2 linked regions of the Arabidopsis thaliana genome follow. The protein of the gene in region 2 purifies or fractionates together with the protein of the main gene of each other region. This does not show direct contact. Each region holds a gene or a part of one and is shown on either strand. Other genes may lie near its edges. The genes, in order: STRS2 and AT5G25475.

Region 1 (8,749 bases), 6.1 Mb from region 2:
GTGAACCATATAACCGAAACAGGTATGTTCAAGGGGGAAATAGATGAGCTTGTTGAACAACGGCATGCCCTTGGAGCTGCTAGAAGAGAAGAAGCATTGGCGGAGGCCCGACAGATAAGAGAGGAGAAAGAACGGTCCAAAACTGGTGAGGAAGCTAATGGAGTTTTAGACAATAATAGGTTGGAGAAAAAGAAAAATAGCGCACAAGTATTAGAAAGCAGTGAAGACAGCAAAAAGAATGAGAGCACTGCAGGGGGAAGCAAGATGGAGAATGGGTCTGTTTCTTCGGAAAACATTGAAAAATCAGAGAAAAGGTTTGGCTTATCCTATTTACACATAAGCAGAACATTTTGTTTTTGGATGACTTGGTGGGAGCTCATTGTTCTTATGGTTGTGATAGGCTTATAGGGAATGTCTATCTGAGAAAGCACAAAAGGCAGATGACGGATACAAAAATCGAACCAAAAGAGGAGGAGGAGGATGAGAAAGCAGAGGAGGACGAAGAGGAGAAAGGATTTTCAGTGAAGAAGCAGGAGGTAAAATCTGCAAGCGAAGATGAGAAAGGAACTTTTGAAAGGAGGGGGCCCGAACAGAGGGTAAAGTCCGTCCCCTCATAGTTATATTTGGTTGTTTGCATATATTCCCCGTGTGTGCTTTTTTTACCCATCAAGTCTGAAATTTTTTGTATACATGCAGAGGCAATATTATGAGCGGGAGATGGAGAAAATAGTCATACGTACAAACCCCTTGGGTAAAGATCGGGACTACAACAGGTACTGGTGGTTCCGAAGCAATGGGAGAATATTTGTTGAGAATTCTGATTCCGAAGAATGGGGCTATTATACCGCCAAGGAAGAGGTATCATCAATCCACGTGGTTCATTTCTTTGTTTGATAAATGGATTGTATAGTTCTTGTTCCGATTTGTGTATGTTACTTGAGATCCAGCTGGATGCATTGATGGGGTCACTAAACCGTAAAGGAGAGAGGGAACTGTCATTATATACACAACTAGAGATATTCTATGACAGAATATGGTCAGTTTATAGCTTCCCATTTCTATTTTGCATAATCTGCAGTATTTATTATTCTGGTAACTTGTTCTACCCTCACTTTAATGCACATGTAGAAGAGTAACACCACATTTATCGAAGTCCCCTTGTTTATGTGTAATGGCTTTAAAACCTGGCGATGACTTGTGATTTGCAGCTCTACACTACAAAAGAGGACGAAGGACATTGCTCACAACATAGAAATGGAAGAAGCAGTGGTTAGGAGATCTACCCGTGTAAGAGCTCCACTACATGAAAATCCAGCTAGTGCCTTCTTGAGATATGTTAACAAGTGGAAAGAGGACTAAACGTAGCAGAATTCAATTCTGTATAGGAAAAGCTTGTAGTTGCAGTTGCAGCCATAGCCAAAACTTACCATTTTCAGCTTGTCTTCTCTGTTTTTTCTTTGGCTCCTTTAGGGTTTAGTAGAGCTTTTTACAAGTTACAACAAAAAGGCATTAGTCTTATGGTATGGTGAAGGCAACGCTTGAGTAGAAAGATGGTGTTGGGTTTTGTTTTGTTTTTCTGTTACCATTCATCATCACCTTCTTTTCAGTACTCTATGATACCGAGGTACCATTTATTTTTTATTTTTTCCGGGGAAATTAGAAGTTTTATTACTATTCCTAAAATGTTTCATTGCAGATTTGCATCTATGTCTGATTTTGGTTGGTGGCTATATTTCTAAGCTTTGTTACAGAAGACTTAGATTAATTAGGCTAAAACCTTTTGACTTATTTTTGTTTTCAGTGCGGTTTGATAAATTTGATGGCATGTCATCTTTGTTTTAGCTCCAAAATAAACATTTAGGACCATCGTTGTACCCTTGTTTTTTGTTTTAAAAAAATCAAAACATGAATTTGGTAGTTCGACATTTGAATCTATACAGTATACAACTACTCGGAGAAGAAAGTCAGTTCTCATTTTCAAATCCAGGTAATTACACCCACACCTGTGGGCTGTAAGACAGAATTTACAATGTTGAACAGCCTAGCTATGATTCAGAAGCAAACCAAGGACTACAAGTCAGGTTTAGTTTTCAGCCAAAAAGCCAATCGGAACTCTTTCTTTTTGGGTAACAAATTCGGTTCGGTAAGATGAACCGATTAGATAATTTTTTGGAAGAGATGAACCGATCAGTTAACCAAAGAAATTTCTATTTTTTCTGAATTTTTTATTTTCGGATTTTTGGGCTCCGAAACAAACCGGATCTTGACAAATTAGTAAATTACCAAATGAAATTCTTAAGAAGGTAACTTTTACCAAAATGCCAAACTTCAAAAAAGCAATAAAGTTCAACACAAACAATACCATTAGGCAAAGAAAGAGAAAATCTAGCGGGAACGATAATTTCTCTTTGCAGGTTTCTTGTCAAAACCTGGAGCGACTCTAATACCAGGAACGTTTTTGAGACCCATCTTGCCAAGAATATTTACAGGGATAGCCGGAGGGATGCTAAGTCCCATACTGCGGCTAAACTCATTAGCTAACTCCACCAGTCTGGTCGTGTCTCTAGCAATCTTCTTCTGCGATTTGTAGTAACCCAACCATGCCTGATATGCCGCCTCCTTGTTCGTCATTTCCACTTGGATAAGCCCTTTCTGCACCTGATTTTAACATGTTTTCAACACCCATCAATGCTCACTCGAGTTACATACTCTTAAGAAAAATTTGGCTTCTAACGTAAAAGAGGTTAGTTTCGTGAGATGTGAAAATCTTATTCCTTTGCATACATATTCCAATACAGTTTATATAACATTCTGGTTGTTCTGGTTTGCTACTTGCTAGCGAATAGAATTTACGAAAGGCTTGCTAAGTTCAATAGAGTCACAAATTCAGGCTAAGTTTACAGTAGTAGTATTTGAAAAATCTTACCTTTTTCACAGCCTCATGGTCTATTGGCGGTAAAGAAGACTTTGTGATGGGCAAGTCCTTAACAGAAGATAGAAAGTACTCTTCCCACGGTGCCAACAATAGTACACCTTCTCCTTCCTTACCTTTCCGCCCAGTTCTGCCAAGTCTATGTATATATTGTTCCCTGTCTGATGGCAATCCCATCTGCAAAAGCAACATACACACAACAACAACTTCGGTAAAAAAAAACAATCAACTTTGTAGATACTGTTCAATTCCATGATTGAAAACTACTACATGATTTACCTGTACGACTAAGGACACATCAGGGTAATCAACACCACGAGCAGATACATCAGATGTCACAAGGATAATACTCTTGGACTTGCGGAACTCATCAGAAACTCTGGTTCTGTAACTCTGCGGTTTTCTAGAATGGATCTCTCTGACGTTAAGGCTTAGCTTACCAAGCAGATCAGCCACCAATCTTGTAACCATAGCAGTTGTACAGAAAATAATAACCTGCAACAGCAAGGAGATCATGTTAATCCAGAATTACAGTGGTGATTAACAAAGGCATTGGAGGAACAATATACCTTATAGCCCACATTATCTGTGATGTGTTTTTTCAGAAGACCATATAGAAGCGAGAAATGTCTATCTAATGATGCAATCATGTACATTTGTGAAACCTGGGAGATAAAACAGACATGAGAAACCATTAGCATCCAATCATATGGCAGGCCATTGGTTCAAATGAACTTAAAAAGCAATCTTTTACCTTTTGATGCGTCTCCCCAGCACCCTCTTGAACACAGTTGACGAATTCATGATCCCGTTTCAGAGCAACATGGCATATTTGGCGGACCTTGATAGCAAAAAAACACAGTTCAAGATTCCAACCCAAAAGTGAAAGCCTTTGTGCAAGAAACTGACACTTACCTCATCAGATACTGTGGCGGAAAATAAAAATGTTTGTCTCTGCTTAGGAACAGCAGCAATTATCCTCTCAATTTCCCTTCGGAAACCCATGTCCAAGAGATGATCAGCTTCATCAAGCACAAGGACTTTCACACCCATCAACCTTGTTGCAAATCCAGAAGTGTTGTCGATATGGTCTTTGAGCCTTCCGGGTGTAGCCACGAGAATCTGAGAGTGTGAAAATATGTTATTATTCAAAAATATACAGAGACAAAGATCACCATCTCTGCAGCCACTTTGACTGCAGGGAAGACAAATAATGCAAAAAAATCTAAATGCATAATGAGGCTTAGATCAAAGAACATATCCTGTGACTGAAAAACAATCCTAACTTGGACAGGGAAATCCATTTCTTTTTAAAAAACAATCTATCTTAATTCATATTCTTAGAAATTCAAATCATGAGTCCATATTGTTCTAGCGAAGGATAACCAACTCAGTTTGAAAAGAAATATATGCAACTCTATTGGTCAGATAACAAGTTTCATCTGAGAAGTCCAGCTCAATGGAAATGCATGATTTGCTCAGAAATAAGTTTACATATTAATACAAATGAAAATTTACCTGGCAAGGACTCTTTTGCAAGCGCCTTTGCTCCGTAGGAAGCTTAGTGCCTCCAATCACAACTTGAACACCAATAGATGGGTGATACTTGAGCAAGATGTTTGCTTCTGCAGCAGCTTGACAAGCAAGTTCCCGAGTAGGACATACCACAAGCACAATAATTGGGGGATGCCTATTATCACGGCTTGCAGGAGGAGCTTTGATAACAGCTTCAATTGATGGAAGCTTGGAAAAAGAAACATCAACATTAATAACAAACCCCAATTAATCAAACTGATTGTAATCCTAAATGACCAACATGAACCCAAAAAGGGTATCTCACCAAAAATGCAACTGTTTTCCCAGTGCCTGTTTTGGCCTTCGCAAGGATATCTTTACCTGGAAAACCAAGGAAGAATAATTAATAGAGGAATAGTCAAGCTTCAAAATGTTTAAGTCATGACAAAACATAAGGAATCATGAAGAAAGATGCAAAAGTTTCTGCCTTTTAGGCAAGTTCACCTTGGAGAATGAGAGGAAGAGTAGCCTCCTGAACAACAGTCATTGTCTTAAATCCAGCATCCTCAATTCCTTTTAACGTTAAGGGAGACAGTGGGAACTGATCAAATCTGTAAGAACCATTTTACCATAAAGAGAAATCTGAATCAAACACCACTAAGAATAGCTCTGAAGCTATCTCCGAAAGAAACGCAAAAAATGTACCTTGTCTTTGACAAATAAGAATCTGAAGTTTTAGCAATTTGAGTCACTAGAGGCGTAGTAGAAGCTGGTTTCTTAATAAGAGGCTCATCAACATCAGATTTGCCTTCTCTTCCCCTCTTTAGACTCTTATTGTTGTCCTTGACTAGCTTTCCCGAGCCATCTTCGTCACTCGTCAACTTCTTCACAAGTTTAGCACGAATCTCTCGTCTCTTCTTACCGGATTTGGGTCCATCGGAATTCATGCCAACGAGTGGAGAAAAGACGGAAGAGAACGGTGAAGCGTATGCCTTTAACTGTAAGGCTCTGCAACTACCAAATTCCCGCCGTCGGTTATTTTAGGGTTTAAAAGGTTTTGTAGGAAACACAATTTAGGGCTTAAGGGTACAGATGCGAGTGGCCCAAAATGTCAACAAATATACAAAACGGCATGTAGTTGCTCCCTTTGCTTTGAAACGTGTTGTTTTATATCAGAAAAAAGTTTTGTTAAATCTTCAAACACGTATAATCCAACTTAATACTTTTTTTGTTTTTTTAGTGAAAATCGAAATACTCATGTTAACAAGCCATTACAAACAAAAGACCTTTATAAGAAGGCAACTTTTATAGGATTTTTTAGTTAGGAAGTCTTAAGAGTGTAGCAAGAATGACAAGAGACTACACGTCTACACTTACAAAACATTAAAGTTTTAAAACCAAAGCAGATCACTAGGAAAAAAGAAAATCTACTTGGTTCTAAGACCAGGAACGTTTTTGAGACCCATCTTGCCAAGAACATTTTTGGGGATAGCTGGTGGGCTGTCAAGTCCCATGCTGCGGCTAAACTCATTGGCCAGCTCCACCAGTCTGGTCGTGTCTCTTGCAATCATCTTCTGAGATTTGTAGTAACCCAACCACGCCTGATACGCCGCCTCCTTGTTCTTCATTTCCACTTGGCTCAGCCCTTTCTGCACCTGAATTCAACAAGTTTATTATACCCAGCAATACTCACTCATACTCACACCCTTCAAAAATCATAGCTTTTAACTTCAAAGAGTTGTGTTATGAGATTCAGGTTCAGTTTCAAGTTCCCTACTCATTCTGGATTGCCAGCAAATATGAGTTAAGAAAGGCTTGCCAAGTTCAGTAGAATCACAAATTCATGTGAGTGCGCTTATATGAAAATGCTTACCCTTTTCACAGCCTCTGGGTCTATTGGCGGTAGTGGAGACTTGGTGATGGGCAAGTCTTTAACAGATGACATAAAGTACTCTTCCCATGGTGCCAACAATAAGACTCCTTCCCCTTCCTTCCCTTTCCGCCCGGTTCTGCCAAGTCTATGTATATACTGCTCCCTGTCTGATGGCAATCCCATCTGCAAAAGCAAACAACTTCAGTTAAACAAAAGAGATAAAATTTGTAGTCGCAGAACAATTCCATGTCAGAAAACTATGGTTACCTGTACGACCAATGACACATCAGGGTAATCCACACCACGAGCAGATACATCAGATGTGACTAGGATAATAGCCTTGGACTTGCGGAACTCATCAGAAACTCTGGTTCTGTAACTCTGCGGTTTTCTAGAATGGATCTCTCTGACGTTCAGGCTTAGCTGACTAAGCAGATCAGCCACCAATCTTGTCACCATAGCAGTTGTACAGAAAATGATAACCTACAACAGCAACGAAATCGGGATAGTTCAGAAATACAGACATTGGTTATTCATAATGGCACTAGAGAGATAATGTTACCTTATAGTCCACATTATCTGCGATGTGTTCTTTAAGAAGCACATGTAGAAGCGAAAAATGTCTATCCAGTGATGCAATCATGTACATTTGTGTGACCTGGAGATAAAACAAACATAAGAAACTGATAACATCCAATCATATGGCAGGCCATTCACTCAAATTAAGCTAAAGAGAAATCTTTTACCTTTTGATGTGTCTCCCCAGAGCCCTCTTGGACACAATTGATGAACTCATGATCCCGTTTCAGAGCAACATGGCATATTTGGCGGACCTTGACACCAAAAAACACAGTTCAAGATTCCAACCCAAAAAATGAGAGCCTTTGTACTAGAAAGTGACAGTAACCTCTTCAGGTACGGTGGCAGAAAATAAAAATGTTTGTCTCTGCTTAGGAACAGCGGCAATTATCCTCTCAATGTCCCTTCGGAAACCCATGTCCAAGAGATGATCAGCTTCGTCAAGCACAAGGACTTTCACACCCATCAATCTTGTTGCGAATCCAGAAGTGTTTTCAATATGGTCTTTGAGCCTTCCAGGTGTAGCCACAAGGATCTGAGAGTGTTCAAATATGTGATTATTCAACAATATATAGATATAGGTCACGGTATCTGCAGCCATCTTAGAAGCGCAGTTTAAGGGAAGTGCAAGATTTGCTCATAATTAACTTCAAATTAAAACACCTGTAGAGACGGAAGAAATTTCTTATTACCTGGCAAGGATTCGTTTGCATACGCCTTTGCTCTGTAGGAAGCTTTGTGCCTCCAATCACAACTTGAACACCAATAGAGGGGTGATACTTCAGTAAGGTATTTGCCTCTGCCGCAGCTTGACTGGCAAGTTCCCGAGTAGGACATACCACAAGCACAATAATTGGGGGTTGCCTACTATCCCGGCTTGCAGGAGGAGATTTGATAACAGCTTCAATTGCTGGAAGCTTGAAAAATAAACATCAACGATAAGAAGTAAGAACATATCCCAATCAAAGGCCCAATCAATTCCTATCCAACCAACATATATCCATGAACCCAGAGAGTACAATGTCTCACCAAAAATGCAACGGTTTTACCAGTGCCTGTTTTGGCCTTGGCTAGGACATCTTTACCTGGAAAAACAGAGCATGGAAGAAACCAAGGAGTTAAGAGGAATTTAAACAATCAATCAAGCTACAAAATGGCAGTCATGGCAAATTTGAGGGGATCCGGAAGAGAAATACTCAAGATTCTTAAGTTGTCTTTGAAATACCTATTGGCTATTGCCAACGTGATTTGTAAAAGCTTGTGAGATGTCGTCAATTAGAAATTGTCACTACATTTCTAAATCATGGCATTTTTTCTTTTTGCATCGTAAACAAGGCTCATGAAGAAAAGTTCACCTTGGAGAATGATAGGAAGAGTAGCCTCCTGCACAACAGTCATTGTCTCAAATCCCGCATCCTTGATGGCTTTTAGCGATAAGGGAGAGAGTGGGAATTGATCAAATCTGTAAACCATGTACCATAAAGAATATTATCAATCAAACAGAACTAAATGGTCAAAGTAAGTCACATAGTGAAAAATAATGTACCTTGTCTTAGACAAGTAAGAATCTGAAGTTTTGACATGTTCACCAGTTGGCTTATCAGTCTGAACAGCCTTAGCAGAAGCCGCTTTCTTAATAAGAGGCTCATCATTTTCATCATCCTCATCACTACTATCTTCACTAGGCAAATCATCGATGTTTCCCAATCCAACCCTGTTCTCGTCATCGTCACTACTATCTTCCTCTTCCAGGCTTAAGCCTCTTGTCTGTTTCCCCAAGCCCCTGTTGTTTTCGGAACCTGGCTCTCTCCTAAACCCTGATTCTACATTTCTATCATTCCTACCACGAA
Region 2 (7,179 bases):
AAAAATTGGTTAAGGATTGTTTTTTATTTTTTGTAAGTTGAGGGTTATTTTGAAACATATTGGCTAGTTTGAGGGTTTTCTTGCTAATTAATAAAGAAAAACGACAAAAAACAAAAAACATGGTTCTAACAATAAACCGAACAAGCGTGGTATGGTTCTATTACTAAACAGAACAATATAAAAAAACGGTTTAATTTACCCAAACGAATAAGAACAATAACCAAAAACTCCCAAATTAATTTTGCTTAAGCAGCAGCAGAAGAAGAAGCATGGCGGAACAAGAATTACAGAGAATCAATGAGAAGAAGCCATGGCAAGTTCTCGAGTTCTACAGTGGAATCGGTGGAATGGTAACAGTCTCCTTCACCTCCAATTCTATGTTTTTAGTGAAGTCTACTCTGTCTCATAAACCCTAATTCCTTTTTGCTCTTAGAGATACTCTTTAATGGCGTCAGGCATCGTCTCAGAAGTAGTAGAAGCTTTTGAGATCAATGATTCTGCTAATGATGTTTATCAACATAATTTCAAACATCGTCCCTATCAGGTTGCTTAATGCTTATATATGATATAATCAATAGAAGCATTGTTACATTTGCAAATCATAGATGATGCTAGTTCTGTGACTTAGTCCATGATTAGTTCTTATTGTTTTGGTTGTTTTTCATAGGGGAATATTCAGAGTCTCACTGCTGCTGATTTAGATAAGTATAATGCAGATGCTTGGCTTCTTTCTCCTCCTTGTCAACCTTATACTAGACAAGGTGATTCATTTCACTGTTGTTTTCTTTACTATCAACATGACTTGCTTTTGGATACTAACAGTTTTTTTTTGGTTAGGCCTTCAGAAACACTCTGGTGATGCTCGGGCTTTTTCGTTTCTCAGGATTCTTGAGCTTATACCGCATACAACAAAGCCTCCACAAATGTTATTTGTAGAGAATGTTGTTGGATTTGAGGTATAGTGTTTGCTTATGCTTCCCAGCTAGAGTACTTGTTCTCGATCATCTTCTTTGAAGTCGTGACATTTTTGCTTATTGGTGGTGTTTGTTGGTGCAGACTTCGGATACACATATGGAAATGATTGGTACATTAACAAAATTAGATTATGTCACACAAGAGTTTATATTGAGTCCGCTGCAGTTTGGTGTGCCGTATTCAAGACCACGTTATTTCTGCCTGGTACTTTCTCTTTACCTTATGATTGCGTAGTGCATATCTGTGTACCTAAAACTGTTAATTTTAGTAGTCTGAGAATGTATAAGTATATGCTGATTATGAAACTTTCTCATGTAGTGTGCACTTTCTCATGTATATGCGTTAATCTTTTTGTTTTAGTTAAAACGTCACTAACTTTGAAATCATTTGATTTACCTGGTGTCTTTGTAGGCCAAAAGAAAACCTCTGCCATTTAAGTCCCAACACAGTAATAACAAACTACTCTGGTCTCCAGACCCGTTATATGGGCGTGATGATCAGGTTGAGTTTGGAAAATGTCAAGCAGAAGAAGGATTGGATAAATTACTTGAGTTTTGCAAACCAGTAGAGAAGTTTCTCGAGTTAGCTGCACATGTTGATGGCGAGCCAAGTAGTGTTGATGACTCTGAAAATGGGTCCAAAGATTGTTGTGGACAAGAAGGCGATTCTGTCCCAGACTCTGTACATCAGTATCTAGTACCAGTTAGTTTGATAGAGAGATGGGGAAACGCAATGGACATTGTTTACCCTGATTCAAAGAGATGTTGTTGTTTCACAAAGAGTTATTATCGATACGTGAAGGGCACAGGTTCCCTATTGGCAACTGTCCAGGTACGTTCTTCCATGGAGTATACAATATTACTTTCCTCTGTATTTGCAAAGTGAAAAGAAATGCTTATCGTGAATCTGTGATCACGCAGCCAAAAATCAAGGGTAAGGAATCTTGTTTGAAGGAGCAACGGCTTAGATACTTCACCCCTAGAGAGGTTAAGCACTGTCCTTTACTTTTACTACTAATGCCTCACTGAAAAAGTCAGCTTTATTTCATTGAAAGATGATGTTCGGTTTCTATTTGTTTAGGTAGCTAACTTTCACTCATTCCCTGAAGATTTTGAGTTCCCCAAGCACATAAGCCTTCGACAAAGGTACGCTGTTCATACCGTCAACACCATCTAAGCCAGAAAAAGCTACTGTCTATATAGATTATGTGCATCCAAGTATAACAGAGGCACCGTTTTGATTCGAATATAGAATTTAACCCATAATACCCTTATTTCTCCCGTACTTCCTGTTTGAAATGTGGAAATAGTTGAACACAAGAACATGAATCTCATGAACTCCTCTTTGTGCAGATACGCAATGCTTGGAAACAGTTTAAGTGTAGCAGTGGTGGCTCCTCTGCTTCGGTATCTATTCGATTCTTGACTACACAATTTGATGCACTAAGTGACGCGACCAATTACCGGAATCAGTTATTCTCCTGAACAAGCTTCTACTACTTTTTTGTTTACTGATAAAGTTCAAACTGATGAACTTACGTTTTGTTATCGATCCTTAACTTTATGGGCCAGTATTTTAAATGGGCCTTATTCGGCCCGTTAATCATAATTTCTTACCCAAATTTCCGTAAAAAGTGACCATAATATTGGCATGAGACATGAGTCTTTTGACTGTCTCTCTCTCTCTCTCAGTCACTTTAAATTATTTGAGCAGCCGCAGCGAGAGGAAGTTTTCTTCAACTGCGACGGAGCGTGAAGTTCACGCTCCGGCGGTACTACCTAAGGTTTGTCGTTAGGGACGTTACTTTTACGTTATTACTTGCTTCTTCGCCACTTTTCTTCATTTTTTCCGACCAGAGATATTTTGTTCCTCCTTGTACGTACAAAGTGTTTGTTCTTTTTTTACTTTTCCAATTTTTTGGCTCTAATTTTATGAACAAATGCAAGTAGGTCATCATACAAACCCTAATTTTGCAGAACTGATCCAGCTTTGAAAAGAAAAATGTTGCCTAAGAATGCTATTGAGAAGATCCAAGCAAATGTGAGCAAGCCTTGCTTCTGGAAGTCTCTCTCTCCAGGACAAACTTGGAAATCTAAATCCATGGTAACTTCAATTATGACTCACTCCTCCTTTGATATTTACTCACTGTTCTTAGACTCTTTCTATTGAATTTGCTTTGTTACAAGTTTATAGCTTTGGATGTTGTTGCTAGAACAGTAAGATGTGATAATCCTTTCATGTTTAGTTTAGCCCTTTTATAGACAAGTTATTACAGAACTACCCGTTTGTTGTTGTTTGAAAAAGTTCAGATCTTTTCTTCTTTTAAGAAACTTTGGAGACATTCTAATGGCACAATGCCTCCTCTGCTTCTTGCTGCTTGGTCTTCATTTTGTTACTTATTGACCTGTTTTAGCTACCGTTATGGGTACTTTTACGTCGCAGGTTTCGTTTGCCCTTAGCTCATGTTTATGCTAGTGTTGGTTCTAGTCCTTTTCTCTGCATTTCTTGACCTACAATCCAATCTTTTAAGCTCGTGTTTTTGCTGCTTGTGTTTTTTCTGTAGAAAGTTATAACTTTTAGTCTCATGTTTCCTCTTTTGAATGTAAGTATTGTTTTGTTGATTTCTGGGTTTATTAAGAGGATAATTCCGGAAGACTTTGTGAGAAGAACGCGTGGTGCTTTTGAGCACAGAGTGGTGTTTAGTGTTCGTTGGGAAAACTCCTGGCAACTCTGGCTGGAGCGAGAGAAGAACGAGCTGTTTATGATAGAAGAAGATTGGAATGAGTTTGTAGACGACAATCATTTAGGTCCAAATGATAATCTGTTCATCAAACACGATGAGACGATGAATCTTGAAGTGCAAATCTTTAAGAATAATGGGGTTGAGATCATTGATGTACCTCTTGGAGTTGAACCCGAAACTGAACCATTTCATCCTACGCCCAAGAAACCTCACAAGGAGACAACCCCTGCCTCTTCCTTTGCCTCTGGCTCTGGCTGCTCTGGTAAGGCTATTCAGATCGATAGAATCATCAAACTCCAAACTATCATTTGTTCTCTATGCCAATGTTTGATTGGATTCTGTTTTGGTGGAATTCTCAGCAAATGGAGGGACAAATGGCCGAGGAAAACAACGTTCTAGTGATGTCAAAAACCCTGAGCGATACCTCTTGAATCCTGAAAACCCTTACTTTGTGCAAGCGGTGACAAAAAGGAACGACGTTCTGGTAATAATACAAGTGTTTACATTGTCAGCTTTTTATTCCATTTGTGGCCTAGAAAGCTAAAGCTTGTCTTTGTTTCCTGCTGTATGTGCAAGTATGTGAGCCGACCGGTGGTTCAGAGCTATCGCTTGAAGTTTGGTCCCGTTAAGTCCACCATTACCTATCTTCTTCCCGGGGAGAAAAAAGAGGAAGGCGAGAATAGAATCTATAACGGGAAACCTTGTTTCAGTGGCTGGTCGGTTCTATGTCGGAGGCACAATCTGAATATCGGAGACTCCGTGGTTTGTGAACTTGAACGCTCCGGTGGTGTGGTTACCGCTGTAAGAGTGCATTTCGTCAAGAAAGACTAGACCAATCCTCTCTAGTAACAACAATATGTTATTTACAACTTTCTGTAACAATGCTAAATGTGTCAATTATGTGTTAGTTTAACAAACTTGTCAATTCACTTGCAATCGAATCGATTCTAGAGTATGATGGGCCAGTTTCTAATATGGGCCATATCCGGCCCAATAATATTGTTTGACCATTTTATTATTTCCATACACAGTACACATTTGACACTTGTCACAGTGCTGTTGACTGTTGAGTCTCCTCTCTTTCTGAAAGCAGAGAGATTCGATTTGGAGAACAAGGGCTGAGAAGAGCAGACACAGCAGCGAGAGGAAGCTTCTTCGACTGCGACGGTGCGTGAATTTCATGCTCCGGCGACGTTACTTTTGACGCAATTACTTGCCTTTTACGCATTTACTTTGTTCTGACTTCTGACCTAAGTTTTTTTCCCCTTTGACCGTACAAATTTTGCTTCTTTCTTCGTTTTTCTCTGTGTCTCTCATTAGTCACCATTTTCGTGTTCTCTGCTTTGTAACACTTTCGGGTTTAGCTACTGAAAGTAAGAAAAGCGAGATAACGCATTAAAGGTTTAATTTTTATCCAGTTTTACTGTTTCACTGATTTCATTACATGCAAGTCATCTTCGTCTTTGTTTATGAACCCTAATTTTGCCGAATCCATCCAGCTTTTGAAGAGAACAAGATGTTGCCTAGGAATGCTACTGATAAGATACAAGGAAATGTGAGCAAGCCTTGCTTTTGGAAGTCTCTGTCTCCAGGACAAAACTGGAAATCTAAATCCATGGTAAAACAAAATTAGTCTCTCTTCTTTTCTAATCTTTCGAAAATGTAGCTCCTTTGATTTTGTACTCACTGTTATTTCCATTGAACTTCTTTGTTTGCTCTAAAGATCTATTGTTCGTTTGTTGTTCTTGTTCGAAAAAGCTTTTGATCTTTCAAGAAACATTTGAGGAGATTTTAATGGCACAATGATTCCTGCTTCTTGTTCTGCTTGACAAGCTCGTGTTCTGCTGATTGTATTTTAGCTTTTAGTCTCATGTTTCCTTCTTCTAATGTCAGTATCGTTTGTTGTTGTCAACTGTTATGATTTCTGTCTTTATGAAGAGGAGTTTTCCGGAAGAGTTTGTGAAAAGCACGCCCGGGGCTTTTGAGCACAGAGTTGTGTTCAGTGTTCGTTGGGGCAATTCTTGGCAACTCTGGCTGGAGCGAGAAGAAAAAGATCTGTTTATGATAGAAGAAGATTGGGATGAGTTTGTGGATGACAACCATTTAGGCCCAAATGATAACGTGTTCTTCAGACACGATGACAAGATGTTTCTTGAAGTGCAAATCTTTAAGAATGATGGGAACGAGATCATCGATGCACCTCCTGAAGTTGAACCTGAAACTGAACCATTTCATCCTACTACACCAAAAAATTCTCACAAGGAGACAACCACTGCCTCTGCCTCTGCTTCTGCTTCTGGTATGGCTATATTCAGAATGAAAGAATCGTTTTGATGCTCTTCATACTCAATACTACTCTTTTCTTTTCTCTCAATGCCAAAGTTTGCTTCTTTTTGTTTCTGTTTTGGCAGAATTTTCAGACAATTGGCGAGAGACACATGGTTGTGCTGATATCAAAAACCCTGAGCTGTACCTTCTAAACCCCAAAAACCCTTACTTTGTGAAAACGCTGACAAAAGGGAATGACGTTTTGGTAATAAGAGCAGTGTTTTCATCAGTTTTGATTCTAGTTTACGTTTGTTGCCTCTAAATCTAAGACTTATCTTTCTCTCTATTTCTCATGTACAATGTGCAACTAGTATGTGCCCAAAACAGTGATTAAGAAGTATGGCTTGAAGTTTGGTCCCCATTTGTCCCCCATGCATTACCTTCTTCCCGGAGATAAAATAAATGGCTCCACTAAGATCTATGGCGGTGGCAGTGCCCCTTGTTTCAATGGCTGGGTGGACCTATGTCGAAAGTACAATCTGAAAACCGGAGACTCTATGGTTTGTGAACTTGAACGCTCTGGAGAACTGGTTACTGCTGTTAGAGTGCACTTCATCAATAAAACATGAGATGAGTCCTCTCTAGTCTCTTTTCTTTAACATTCGTGTTTACCAAACTTACTATTGTAATGTTTATATGTGACCCTTATGTTGCTTTAACAAAACTTAAATGCTAAATTTCTTATGCTTCTGTTACTTCATTGGAAATGCTCGATTGTGATTCAGTCTTATATGCTCGTGAGAAGTAAAATATGCATACAACTTTATTGTAAGTTTTGTAACTCTTCCATAAAAATTAAAAGGCCTAGATACATAAGATATAGGCAACGTTTCTTTTGCCTTCTCATACAAGAAAATACAATATAAGCAAAGGCCCATCTGCCTATATAAAACCCTAACTCTCGTAAATAAAACTCTGTTTTTTTCACCTTCTCGTTTCAATAAAATCCAACACACACCAAAGACAGTTTAAGGAAAATAAAAGAAGACCACACGATGCATTTTCTTGTAATAGGATTGGTGATTCATCTATGGTTTACGAACGCTTATAAGCTTGACATCATCGATCACAGGCCCACACAATGACGAGAAATCATCGCTCCTCATGGCATAGAAAGTGCTGTAGAACATAAT

Evidence for each region.
Region 1: the proteins of AT5G25475 (region 2) and STRS2 fractionate together in Arabidopsis thaliana (co-fractionation; one large-scale study listed by BioGRID). This does not show direct contact.

Annotation. Positions count from the first base shown.
Region 1 is NC_003076.8:2,791,185-2,799,933, reverse strand, and holds STRS2 (DEA(D/H)-box RNA helicase family protein), read right to left. Parts: upstream 5,547-8,749; 5' UTR 5,395-5,546; coding exon 5,153-5,394; intron 5,059-5,152; coding exon 4,952-5,058; intron 4,829-4,951; coding exon 4,773-4,828; intron 4,676-4,772; coding exon 4,451-4,675; intron 4,055-4,450; coding exon 3,848-4,054; intron 3,774-3,847; coding exon 3,687-3,773; intron 3,598-3,686; coding exon 3,502-3,597; intron 3,428-3,501; coding exon 3,212-3,427; intron 3,110-3,211; coding exon 2,927-3,109; intron 2,659-2,926; coding exon 2,386-2,658; 3' UTR 2,174-2,385; downstream 1-2,173. Other genes in the region: AT5G08630 (DDT domain-containing protein), read left to right, coding at 1-314, 401-596, 697-858, 948-1,036, 1,209-1,359; PDE340 (P-loop containing nucleoside triphosphate hydrolases superfamily protein), read right to left, coding at 5,875-6,102, 6,321-6,503, 6,588-6,803, 6,883-6,978, 7,067-7,153, 7,228-7,434, 7,592-7,816, 7,929-7,984 and 2 more.
Region 2 is NC_003076.8:8,865,290-8,872,468, reverse strand, and holds AT5G25475 (AP2/B3-like transcriptional factor family protein), read left to right. Parts: upstream 1-2,647; 5' UTR 2,648-2,758; exon of another isoform or gene 2,759-2,951; 5' UTR 2,952-2,976; coding exon 2,977-3,078; intron 3,079-3,388; coding exon 3,389-3,439; intron 3,440-3,538; coding exon 3,539-3,980; intron 3,981-4,077; coding exon 4,078-4,202; intron 4,203-4,294; coding exon 4,295-4,549; 3' UTR 4,550-4,672; downstream 4,673-7,179. Other genes in the region: DNMT2 (DNA methyltransferase-2), read left to right, coding at 270-350, 434-544, 668-761, 838-956, 1,057-1,179, 1,387-1,806, 1,896-1,961, 2,056-2,120 and 1 more; AT5G25470 (AP2/B3-like transcriptional factor family protein), read left to right, coding at 5,235-5,336, 5,657-6,017, 6,130-6,251, 6,358-6,615; DGR2 (transmembrane protein, putative (Protein of unknown function, DUF642)), read right to left, coding at 7,075-7,179.